Rattus norvegicus: one gene and its partners. The main gene of each other region encodes a partner of the protein of the gene in region 3 in a complex. Links are inferred from orthologs where the notes say so. Each region holds a gene or a part of one and is shown on either strand. Other genes may lie near its edges.

Region 1 (3,647 bases), on a different chromosome or scaffold from region 3:
TCAACTCAATAAACTTAAGACTCACGTAGGTCATGTAATTGCCTGAAGTTCATAGTACGATGAGAGTGAACTTTGAGCCTTCATTACAAATTATTTCACTAGTTTTTAAAACAAAGATTACCAAAACAAAGAAACTTTTTGTAGTGATTCGTCTGTTTATATTAATTTTTTCTCTTAGGTTCATAATATTCTTGCAGAAATGGTGATGGGGGGAATGGTATTGGAGACCAACATGAATGAGATTGTCACACAAATTGATGCACAAAATAAACTGGAGAAATCTGAGGTAAGACTGGGAAATGCTCTGGTTTGTGAGGGTTTGGAGCATGACCAGGAGCTATTTTTATTTATGACTTCATAGCCATCACTGCTTGCCCTTCAGTATCAATCCTTAGGTACAGTTGAGTACCCATTCAGGTTCAGAAAATGAGTAAGCCCATTGCAGTATGTCAAAATGTCCCAAGACTGCTAATCTCTAAATAGCTTTATGTATTTCTTTAACCACAGTGGTAGCTGCCTTCAAATATAGTTTTAAGGGGGAAAGGAGAGGAAATAGAATTGTTCTGAGCAAGTCATGTTTTATAATAGGTGTTTGGTCAAACTGCATATTGAGACAAAGAAATTTAGTTCCTTAAATCTTTTTTAGATCCTTCCCAAAGGTCAGTAACAGGTTTGTTAAGTTTTATAGTTTATATGTTAATACATACATTTTATTGTATTCTATAATGGAAACAAACATGTTTGTGGCTAACTCTGTGCTGTTAGATTCAGCCTCAATAGGTTGAGTAAGGACATTTGTACTTTAGAACTTTAGTCACTTCTCTCAAGAGCTAGACTTCAGATCAGTGGCAGGTGCTGCACCGGACTGTTTAAGTTTCCATTATCTTGGTGGCTGCTACTTAGGGCACAAGTTTAGACCCATGAGCAGTCTCTATACCTTATCCAGTATTGTATTTAATGAAGGCACTCTTTGACTTGTTATTTGAGACAGGCTCACCGTGCTGTCCTGGTATTCACAGAGATCCACCTGTCTCTGTGTCCTGGGTATTGGGATTTCAAATCATGTATTACCATACCCAGCCTTTAAGGGTACTCTTACATTCTATAACCAAGATTGGAAAGAGAACACAACAGCAGCAATCATAGTCACATGATTATTAGTGCAAGGTCAGTTTCAAGTCAATATTATTATCAAAGGAGTAGGATTAATACACTAAATTAATTTACAACAGGTGAGTTCTGAAAATGTCTTGTTCATATTTAAAGTTCAGTTTGATAAACTTTTATACTCATTTTAATTGAAGAAAATGCGGGATATGAGCCAGAAAAAGTTGAAGCTCCTTATAAAAACACTTTCCTGTGTTTTAAAGTAAAGGTAGACTTCTATTTCTCTTTTATCTCACTTGGCCACCCCTATTGGTCTCCAAAGGAGATGCTTGTGATGGGGATGAAGAGCTTAAAGACAGGACCCATAAAGTAACTGTGTATCACATTTGTTCTACCACCTGTTTTTACATTATGACTTTTGAAAGCAGAAAATATGCAGTATATTATTAGAGAAGTTTTGTGTTAGATCAAGGAAAAGAACAGTGTTATTTAGTATATTTATTTACAACATTACTCAGCACAGTAAAAGAAAAGCTATTGAATTTATTAAAGTTTTAAAATGTTGACTTGAAATGTATGCAAATTGTTCAGCATTGCTTCCCTAAACTACATTAGTAGTTTAAATGCCAAGGCCACAATAACATAATGCCTCAATGGTTGCTCTAAAATACAGGCTTAATTTGTGAACTCTCTAATCTGTAAACACACATTAGTCACATGGCTGGTTTTTCATATTTTAGGGACTCATTTCTTATCAGTGGTGGTCCCTCCTTTCCTCCTTTCTTTCCTTTTCTTTTCATTCTCCTGTTTCCTTTTGCTCTGCATAGTGTTTTGTATAGTATTTGTAAAGGTCATGGGTAAGAAGTAAATTCTGCATCTTTGTTTTTTTTATTTTTCCAGTAGAATATATTAATAAGACAGTTTTTATTAGCTATGGAGAGTGGCAAGATGCAGAATTAATATTTTTGGTGGGAATGCTATAGTTTTATAAAATTACTATGCAAAAATATTTTTCACAGGCTTAAACTTGTTTAAATAGTTTAAAATATTGATGTATGCTTCTAGTGGTCATCCTTTGGCCATGTTTTAATATATATAATCAGCTGTTATTTTCTGTCAGATTAGTAGTTTTACATATGTATGTACTTTGCAAGAAGATATGGTTTAATCAGATAAGGATTAAACCACCAAATTATGTTACATCCTATTTCTTGAAATAGTGTTAAAATTATATTGACTTTGTGAATGTTGTCATTAACTAAACTATATTTTCAATGTTGGAAGACTACACACTAAAGTTCAAGTCTTCATATTTTCATATTCAAGTCTTCAAGAATTGAATTATTTAATTCTTTTAGTTAACTTCAGGTATGTAGCTCCACAGACTAACCCAAAATGATTTGAGAGCAGAGTATTAATTTCTTCTTAAATTATTACAAAGCAAAAATAACAAGGAAGACATAACTAAAATTTTGATTGGTAAAAAGAATTGATCATATTTTTAAAATTCATATGAACTGTTTTAGGATTGTCTTCTAGCTTTTGAAAAATCACCCTGAATATAATTAACTTACAGCATTTAAAGTATGAATTTATCTAGGTTACCTGTTTTAATAATTCAATAGTGACTATTTTAATAATTAAATATGGTGTCTTTAAGGCAGGGAGTTTCAGTGATGGAAGAAAGTGACCAGTTTAATTCCTAGTTATCTAGACAGGACAGGTCTGCCCACCCTGAAGGAGGAGAGAGGCAAAGGCATGCACAGTGTATTTTCATCTATGGTGATTTGATAGGAAAAAATGGTTTATTGTCTTTTGGGGATTTTGGGAAAGAGGGTTTAAGCTGGGAGGTTGGTGGGTTTCGGGAAACTTGAGAGTCACCCAGTAATCTGCCAGGGAATATAAGGAATTCTGGGGGTGGTAGAGGGTGGGGTGGGAGACTTGTTGGAATTATGTATTTCGTGTTGTTATTCTTAAGGTGGATAAATGGATCTGAATTTAGTGACTACTTTTTAAGTCAGTCCTCCTTTTTTCCTGAACATCCTGATCTTTCTAGCTCTTTCCATTCTTCTCTCTTACAGACCTTTATCTTTCAGTCTCCCAGACAGGACAGGTAGACAAGGTATTGCTGACTTTGAGAAAACGTACTTAACAAAGGGAAAGCAAAATGATGTCGAAGGCAATTACTTTTTAGGCCAGACTCAAAAATTCTTTGTGTTAATGAACCCATATAGTCCCTGTAGCCTATTTTCCATTCTAGTTTCTCCTTGTAGTTTCTCCATCTTTTATTGGACGTAGTGTATTTTACTAGTATATCATTGGCGTCATGTTTGTTCTGTTTTGTCTGCCTGCATTGTAAAAGGAAAATTTTAATTCTTTGTTTTTTTTTTTGTAAAAACATGATCATTTAATTGTAAAGTTACATTTGTAGAAATGACAGTGTACTTTATATATAAAAAGTTAATTTTGAGCATCCCTTTAGCAGAACCAATCTCAGATAGATAGAGAGAAAGAGAAAGAGAGAGACAGACAGAGAGACA
Region 2 (3,747 bases), on a different chromosome or scaffold from region 3:
CTAAATCCCCAGCCCCTACAGGTGACTTTTTGAGTAGGACTACAATGTATAGGGGTGACATTAGGATAAAGAGGACTACCACCCTGTCTCTACTTCTTCAGTTTTGCCTTTTTAGGTACAGAAAGGGAGTTTGGTTCTTGATGAACCTGTGGTTTTTCTAGACACCCCATTTCTTTGTCTCCTTATCCATGAAGTGGCTAAGACAGGCTTCTGACATGGCTGAAATCTCAGGCCTCTGGAAACGTCCTGCCATTTCTCCAGGGTGTGTATAGGCAGCACCACCTTATGTTTTTCACAAACACTTGCTGTGTGCTGAGGGTGGGAGAGAACAGGCAGGTGCCCCCAGAGAAATTTACAGAAGCAGCATTTAAAAATGGAGCCCTGAGTGATGGAAAGGGATGCGTTTAGGGTCAAGAAGGTGATTATTGCATAGAATCCTGGCAGGCTCACAACTCTGGGGAGGGTTCTAGAGGTCTCAACCCGCAAACGCAGTGAGGATGCCCTGCACCCTGTGTCTTGACACAACAGTGGCTGAAGTAAGCCCAGGCAACACAATTGCCTCCTGCCAACTCAATAGATAAGGCTCCAGGCTCAAAAGAATCTCCTAAGTCCCTCAAAATCTCCTGCCTGTGGGAGTCCTCACAACAGCACATGGAGTGGAAGAACTGGACAGGGAGGACAGAACCTGGGCCTCACTCCAGCACAGATGGGGAGAGTTAACGGATTCCACCTTCTCTCCTGCACCCTGAAGGAGGCCACCCCATTAGGGGCAACCCAGAGTAGCCTCTCAGGCAGTGCTATGCCCGCACAGGTCTCTAGTCCTCTCAGTCAGCTCTGAGTGTGCACACGGGTCCAAGACGAGTGTAGGGACATGGTGTTTGTCTGACATTTGGCCTGTGCTTCTTCCCACTTTGGCCATTTGTCTGTTACATCATTCTCTTCAATGCCCCGACTCAGCTGAAGTATCAGAGACCCTGGGGTACTCTGAGAAGGACATCACACTCCCAGGGGTAACACGACCTTCCCACTCTGACCTTGGCGCTCTAGAACGCTTACTGGCCTCAACCCCCGCATCCGCGGAATGGGCTGGAATTCCGCAGGAAGATGCGCGTGCGCACGCGCCGTAGGACAGGGAAATCCATGCACCACACCCTTGCGCGTTCTAATCTCCGGAGCCGGTGTGCTAGCCCGGGACCCGATCCGGAAACAGAGCGACTTTGGCTCCACCCAACGAAGGCGTCAGGGTGCAGACGCGCAAGCGCTATTCGTGAAGGGGCGGGGCCTCCTGCGTGCCCGCCCTCTTCCCCCGGCGTGCCCCGCGGCAGGCGCTGACGTGGCTGCCGTCAGCGCCGCCATCTTGTGGGAGCGAAACCAACGCCTGGCTGGGAGCAGCCGCCGCGGAGGTGAGAAGCGGGGCTCTCTGAGGCCGAAGCTGGGGAGGCCACGGGCTGGTCATCGTGGGAATCGCGGGGCTCTCGGCTGCGGCTGCTAAGGACCGAGTCTGGTCGGGCGGCCTGAGGTCTGTGCTCAGTGGGCTCGGCGGCAGGCCGGACAGAAGATCAGGGCGCCCCCAAGTCCCGCGTCGCCCACGGCCGCTTGGCCCTCCCCCACTCCGCGGCCCTTACGCCAGGCCGCCCGCCGCGGGCCGCAGCCCGGAAGTCCGGCCAGGACGCCGGCTCTTCTCCAGGAAGCCAGGTTTCCTGCTGTTCCTCTCTGCGCCCTTCCTAGGCTCCACGGCCCGGGAGCCCGTTGCGGGGAGCAGGGCTCGGGGGTCACGGAGTTTCCCTTCTTAAAGGCTAACCGGCAGCTTCAGAAACGGCATGAGCCTTGGGCCTGGGGAAACTGAGGCTCGGGTGGCCCTGAGACGGCGTCAAGGTCACTCGGGTGTCGAGGTCTTCCTCCTCTGTCTCTCGAGTCCTGTTCCTGTCGGCCTAGAGGACCGAAGTTGTAGGAAGGGGGAAGGGAAAGGGACAGGTGTCGGACAGGGACTCGGAACTGATGACCGGGTGCTGGGATTTAACACATATTCGGATCTCAGGGGATCCCAGAATGCCCACTGTGATCCCCAATTAGCCGTGATTTGGCCCCGCATACCCTCGATGAGATCTGCAATGGGGTCTGCACTCTAGAGCCCAGTGGCCTCTGGAGGGGTTTGAGCGTTATTTCGCCTCTTGGCTGACTCCCTTTATGCTTTTGGTGGATTAGAAAAGGCCATTCTGAATTGGAGAATCTTTAACCTGCCCATGGAATAACCTGCTCCCAGCCTCTGAGCAATATGCAGGTACAGAGGCCAGATCCAGTACAGGATTCTGGCTGTCTATTCAGGATGGTCATGCCATGTCAGGTTGTAATGTACATATGTTATGTGGTCTAGCCACATATAACAAACACTAAATGCCAGGGAATCTGCTTGCATCAAGAAGGAATTCTCCCATTCAAACAGCAAGTGGCTGCTTTGTCAGGAAAGGAAGGGTCAGCTGCATTTGGTCCCAGAAGTCACTGGAGGGCCCAGTAGTTGATGCCACAACCCATGTTGGAGTAGTCTGTTGTAGTTCTTGTTTCACAAGTAGTAGTGGTCAGCAGTTTTTCCTGCAGGCTGATTCTGGTGTTTTCTGCTGTGACTGTCAGAATGGTGAGATGCCATGGTGCTTTGTGTGCTGGCCTCATGTCTCTCCACTGTCTTAACCAGTATCTACAGTGTCTGACATGGGTGACTGTAAAGTCCTCACCTTTGAGCTTTTAGCAGGGCTATTAGAAATAGCCTAGACTGTGAGATTTGATGCACAGTATTACTACCTGGTTTCTGCTGTGGTCAAGGGCCAATCGCAGATGTGGGAGCTACATTGTTGGAGTTACATTGTCTCCACAGCATAAAGGTTTCCCTCATTGGAATGTCGATCACTTAGCCTTAGGTTTGAAAATGGGTCTGAGTCACTGGATCATCACATTGTTCTCTTGTTTGTGAGGCAGATGTACAGAATTGCTACTTCAAAAAGGTTTAGGAGCGGAATAGTAGAGTGCTTTTCTAGCCTGCATGAAGTCTTGGTTTGGTCTCTAGCACTGCACACAAGGTTTAAGACAGTGTGAATAACAGCTGACTCATACTCAGTCTACTCATCCTGAGAGGAAAGTAGCAATAACTAGTTCTGTGCCCCACACACACAGTTCTAATTGTAAAATCATGCAGCTGGGATGTCCACTACACCTCTTGCACCTTGTAGAATGGATGTCCACAATCTTCACTCCAATGGGCTGCTTCCTCTGCCCAGGACCAGACAGGCTTCAAAACACCTTTTTTTTTTTTTTTTTTTAATGTAAAGGTAAATTAGACAAGCAGTTGCTATGGTAACACAGTGTCAGGAAGCCTAACCAAGAGAAAAAACTTGTTGTGCAAGTTCATGCAATAGCTTGTTACAATGGTTTGAAAGTGTTGGGTCAAGTTGTTTTTTTTTTTTTTTTTTTTTTCTTTCAGATTCTTAGAATTAAATGTTACATTGATGAGCAGGGTTTTTCTGTGTCCCCTGGCTGTCCTGAAACTCCCTCTTGAGACCAGGCTGGCCTCATACTCAGAAATCTGCCTCCATAGTTGGAATTAAAGACATAAGCTACCACCTCCTGGCTCTGATACACAGGTTTAAATCTACTCTTAATCACAAGGGCTATGTCATTTGCACTGAGGAGCCATCAGTGAGTCCCATTAGACCCAGCGTGCTCTAGGCTGCTATGTCATTCATGGTCTTTCTTCCC
Region 3 (3,747 bases):
CCTTGGGAATTGACACCCAGTGCCATCAGAGATTTTTTTTAAATTTTATTTATTTTATGTATATGAGAACACTGTAGCTGTCTTCAGACACACTAGAAGAAGGCATCAGATCTCATTACAGATGTTGTGAGCCACCATGTGGTTGCTGGGATTTGAACTCAGGACCTCTGGAAGAGCAGTCAGTGCTCTTAATCACCGAGCCATCTCTCCAGCCCTATTATATCTTTCTAGAAGGCAAAACAACCTAAACCATCTCTTTAAACTTTCTATCAACTACCCTAACATCTTAAAACTATTTAAGGGCTGGAGAGATGCCCATTAACATCGTAGTAGATACAGGAGACATATAGCAATGACAAACATGAGGCGGCACAGCAGCAGCGAGAGGTAATCTAGAGATGACCGCCTCAGGGGCTGTGCCTCTTCAGGAACACCCATCACAGCTGTCCAAAACGGTGGACCATCTCCAGGAAAACTCACTTGCCCCCCACAGTTCCTCCTACATGGTGTTCACCATCCAAGCCTTGTGTTGGTCTTTTCCGACAGCGTTTCACATAGCACAGGACGGCCGGTTAGACTGCTGGTCTGGTGTAACTGACTCTTGACACCAATTCCCAAGTCACCACTTCAGAAAAGGAGGAGCTGGATATACTTTACCCGGACCTTGCAGAAAAAGCTCCACGTGGAGCCCCGCCCTCCTCTAGCCACGCCCACTCCAACCCTGTCCACGCCCACTGCTGTTATTTAGCTGAGTGGGGAGGCTGGCTCGCGGTTTTCCCTTAGGGGCGTGGTTAGAACGTGTATGTGGGGAGCTTGCTCACCAATGAGGTTGCAAGGCACTGCAGAGGAAGGGGTGGGCCGCCAGGCATCAAAGGGCGGTGTCTGCTTTCTTATTGGGCGGTATATGGTTGTCAAGGAAACTGATGTGTGGGGTCGGGCTTTCTGGTGAGGCGGGGCTTCCGGGACGCCGAGGCTCTCCGTCAGCTGACCCACCGCCATCTTGGCCGCCATTTGCGGGTGGCCCTGAGCAGGGAAGGGTCTGCGGAAGCGGGGGCTAACTCGCTGCCCCTTCTCCTCAGACTGGTCTCCGGCCACAGCCGTCGCTCTGGCCTCCACGTCGTCCTCTCCGCGGCGGCCGGAAACGCAGCGGGGCGGTCGCCTGAGGTGCGGTCGCCGGGTCCCCGCACCTCCCAGGGCCGCGGCGGCGGCGTTCCCCTCGGAGGCCACAGCCCACGGGCCGCCGCGATGGCCCTCAAGATGGTCAAGGGCAGTATCGACCGCATGTTCGACAAGAACCTGCAGGATCTGGTCCGCGGCATCCGCAACCACAAGGAGGACGAGGTGAGCCGGCGCGGAGTGGGGTTGCCCGGCTTTTCCCCACAGCCTATAGCCTCTGGCCCGCCTTGGAGCAGCCTCCTCGACCCCATCGCCATTCCGGCCCTGCCTGTTTAGGAGCTGCGGCTCTGCACAACCTCTCCTTCCCCTGGCCTCTGTTTACCCCCACCAGCTTGAAATGGATGCTGTCCAAAACGGCTCAGGTGCCTCGTCTGTTATAACTAGGGTCCACTCCCGGAGCCTCCCAAATGTCCACTTGGAGCAGTCGCTGTCATAAGACCTAAGCGTCTTAGGCCTTACAGTTGGGTGCACTGCTTGAGCCTGAGTTTACCTTCTTGGAGAAGATTTACTTAGGCAAAGGTTCTCCCACTTGGGCTTGTTTCTGGATCACATATGGAGGAATCGGGACCCTCACAGAAAAATCAAGTCATAGGTCTACGTGTCTCCCATGGAGAAATTCCCTTGTCCGGGGACATAGGTCCAGGTTGCTGTCTTGGGCTTACTTGGGAACTTGCCAGGTGTCCCTGCCTCAGATCCCCTGAACTATCAGTGTTTGCAGGACCTAGGGGCGTGTTGGAATGGAGAAGCCTGACTTTAAAACTGGAAGCTCAAAAAAGGCAAAAGTCAGGGTGTGGAAGCAATTTTTTTTCCAGAAGTTAGGCTGTGACCACGAGCATTACTTCCTTTCCTCCCCACAGTCTGTGACCTAGATTAAGGAAGAAGTGATAGAGTGGCTGCCCAGTGCCTGGCTCAGTGGAAAGACAGGCTTCCTCCGGGGCAGGAAGGCCATGCTGAAAGAGGGTGTCCGTGACAGGTACCTGCTGGCCCCTGCTTGCTATGTGAGGTCAGGAAGCAGGCCCCTGGCTGGGACAGTCAGCCCTCTGTAGCCCTCTCCCTTCTACCCTACCTGGTCTGGTTTGTACCCTCCCTGCTCTCCCTGGCTGTTACTTCAGGTGAAATAGCTGGTTGGCCAGTGTGTGGTTGGCCTGTGCATGGACTGCCCTATGTGAAATTTCCTTTGTACTCTTCTGTGGCCCTCTGTGCTCTCGAGGGCCTCCAGGTTTCCCTCTTGTCAGTGTCCCCAGGGAGCTGTCTTGGGACCCTGAGACCGGTCACATTCTAATTTGAGTACCTGAAACAAGCTCTAGCCAGGGACATAGCCTGGGCTGGCTGGAAGCTCATGATACTCCTGCCTTGTCCTTCTTCCTGCCGGGATTACTGATTTTGAGGTGTGTGTGTTTTGCTCTTCATATTCCCTACCCTGCCATACATGCAAGGCTCAGTAGTGCAGACTAGGTGGGCACAGAAAGCCCTCCAGGCCCTCAGGTTCTATGTGGCTTCTGCTGCTGGGTGCTAAGATTTTGGTTGTGAGTCTACCTTTAACAGCTGAACCATCTCTCCCAACCAACATGGCTGGCCAGTCTGAGGTTGCTTGGGTCCTCTGTCCCTCCTCAGGGACCATCTTTAAGTTCCTGTGCGTGTTATCCGGCTCATTGCGGACTGCAGGTACTCTCCTTTGGAGGTGCTGATGTAGTGCATTGCCTTCTGGCCAAGCTTGTAGCACAAGTCATGCAGTGACCATTCTCTGCTCTACACTCTGGTTGACATAGGTCTCACTGTATAACCCTGGCGGTTATAACTCTTCTGCCTTACAAGTACTTAAAATGCTGGTATGTGCACTTGGAAGTTTTGTGGGGTTTTAGTTTTGTTTTGAGGTGATCTTTTTTGTTTTTTGTTTTTTGTTTTTTTTTAACCAAGACAGGGTTTCTCTGTGTAGCCCTGGCTATCCTGGAACTCACTCTGTAGACCAGGCTGGCTTTGAATTCACAGAGATCTGCCTGCCTCTAGAGTGCTGGCATCAAAGGCATATGCCACCATGCCCAGCTTGAGATGATTTTTTTTAATATTTATTTATTTTATGTATGTGAATCCACTGTCACTGTCTCAGACACCAGAAGAGGGCATCACTGCATCCCATTACAGATGGCTGTGAGCCACTGTGTGGTTGCTGGGAATTGAACTCAGGACCTCAGGAGAGAAGACAGTGCTTTTTTTTTTTTTTTTTTTAAATATTTATTTTATTTATTATATATGAGTACACTGTAGCTGTCTTCAGATACACCAGATCTCTTTACAGATGGTTGTGAGCCACCATGTGGTTGCTGGGAATTGAACTCATGACCTCTGGAAGAGCAGTCGGGTGCTCTTAACCGCTGAGCCATCTCTCCAGCCCGAAGACAGTGCTCTTAACCACTGATCCATCTCTGTAGCCTGAGATGATCTTTGTATTTAAAAAAAAAAAATTATTGCCAGGTGTGGTGGCGATAGCTATGGATGGAGAGCCTCAAGTGGATGCAGGGAATTAAACCCGGGTCCCCTAGAAGAGCAGCAAGTCCTTGTCTGCTCTATCTC

The links.
Region 1: the proteins of Ap3d1 (region 3) and Ap3s1 are in contact, whole or in part, in a cryo-EM structure (PDB 9C5C), measured with the Homo sapiens proteins. The link is inferred for Rattus norvegicus from reciprocal best matches to the Homo sapiens genes AP3D1 and AP3S1. Residues at the interface, in NP_003929.4 of Homo sapiens: Leu18, Gln19, Val22, Arg26, Cys60, Thr63, Tyr64, Gln66, Met67, Leu68, Gly69, Tyr70, Asp71, Ile72, Ser73, Lys87, Phe88, Thr89, Arg92, Ile93, Leu96, Gln100, His103, Tyr126, Leu132, Thr133, Ser136, Tyr161, Lys164, Lys165; in NP_001275.1 of Homo sapiens: Met1, Lys13, Pro14, Arg15, Leu16, Ser17, Lys18, Phe19, Pro22, Tyr23, Glu25, Asp26, Gln28, Gln29, Arg42, Asp43, Glu44, Asn45, Val46, Cys47, Asn48, Phe49, Ser80, Glu81, Ser82, Glu83, Leu84, Gly85, Leu87, Asp88.
Region 2: the proteins of Ap3d1 (region 3) and Arf1 are in contact, whole or in part, in a cryo-EM structure (PDB 9C5B), measured with the Homo sapiens proteins. The link is inferred for Rattus norvegicus from reciprocal best matches to the Homo sapiens genes AP3D1 and ARF1. Residues at the interface, in NP_003929.4 of Homo sapiens: Lys48, Asp50, Phe77, Ile80, Glu81, Ser84, Asp107, Met110, Leu111, Thr112, Thr113, Asn114, Gln115, Arg117, Lys118; in NP_001019397.1 of Homo sapiens: Tyr35, Ile46, Pro47, Thr48, Ile49, Gly50, Phe51, Asn52, Val53, Glu54, Trp66, Lys73, Ile74, Leu77, His80, Tyr81, Gln83, Asn84.

What each region holds. Positions count from the first base shown.
Region 1 is NC_086036.1:41,708,270-41,711,916, forward strand, and holds part of Ap3s1 (AP-3 complex subunit sigma-1), read left to right. Parts: intron 1-178; coding exon 179-286; intron 287-3,188; coding exon of another isoform or gene 3,189-3,224; exon of another isoform or gene 3,225-3,229; intron 3,230-3,647. UniProt on the Homo sapiens protein: Part of the AP-3 complex, an adaptor-related complex which is not clathrin-associated. The complex is associated with the Golgi region as well as more peripheral structures.
Region 2 is NC_086028.1:44,511,607-44,515,353, reverse strand, and holds the start of Arf1 (ADP-ribosylation factor 1), read left to right. Parts: upstream 1-1,359; 5' UTR 1,360-1,403; exon of another isoform or gene 1,404-1,695; intron 1,696-3,747. UniProt on the Homo sapiens protein: Small GTPase involved in protein trafficking between different compartments. Modulates vesicle budding and uncoating within the Golgi complex. In its GTP-bound form, triggers the recruitment of coatomer proteins to the Golgi membrane.
Region 3 is NC_086025.1:9,619,986-9,623,732, forward strand, and holds the start of Ap3d1 (AP-3 complex subunit delta-1), read left to right. Parts: upstream 1-1,009; 5' UTR 1,010-1,245; coding exon 1,246-1,341; intron 1,342-3,747. UniProt on the Homo sapiens protein: Part of the AP-3 complex, an adaptor-related complex which is not clathrin-associated. The complex is associated with the Golgi region as well as more peripheral structures.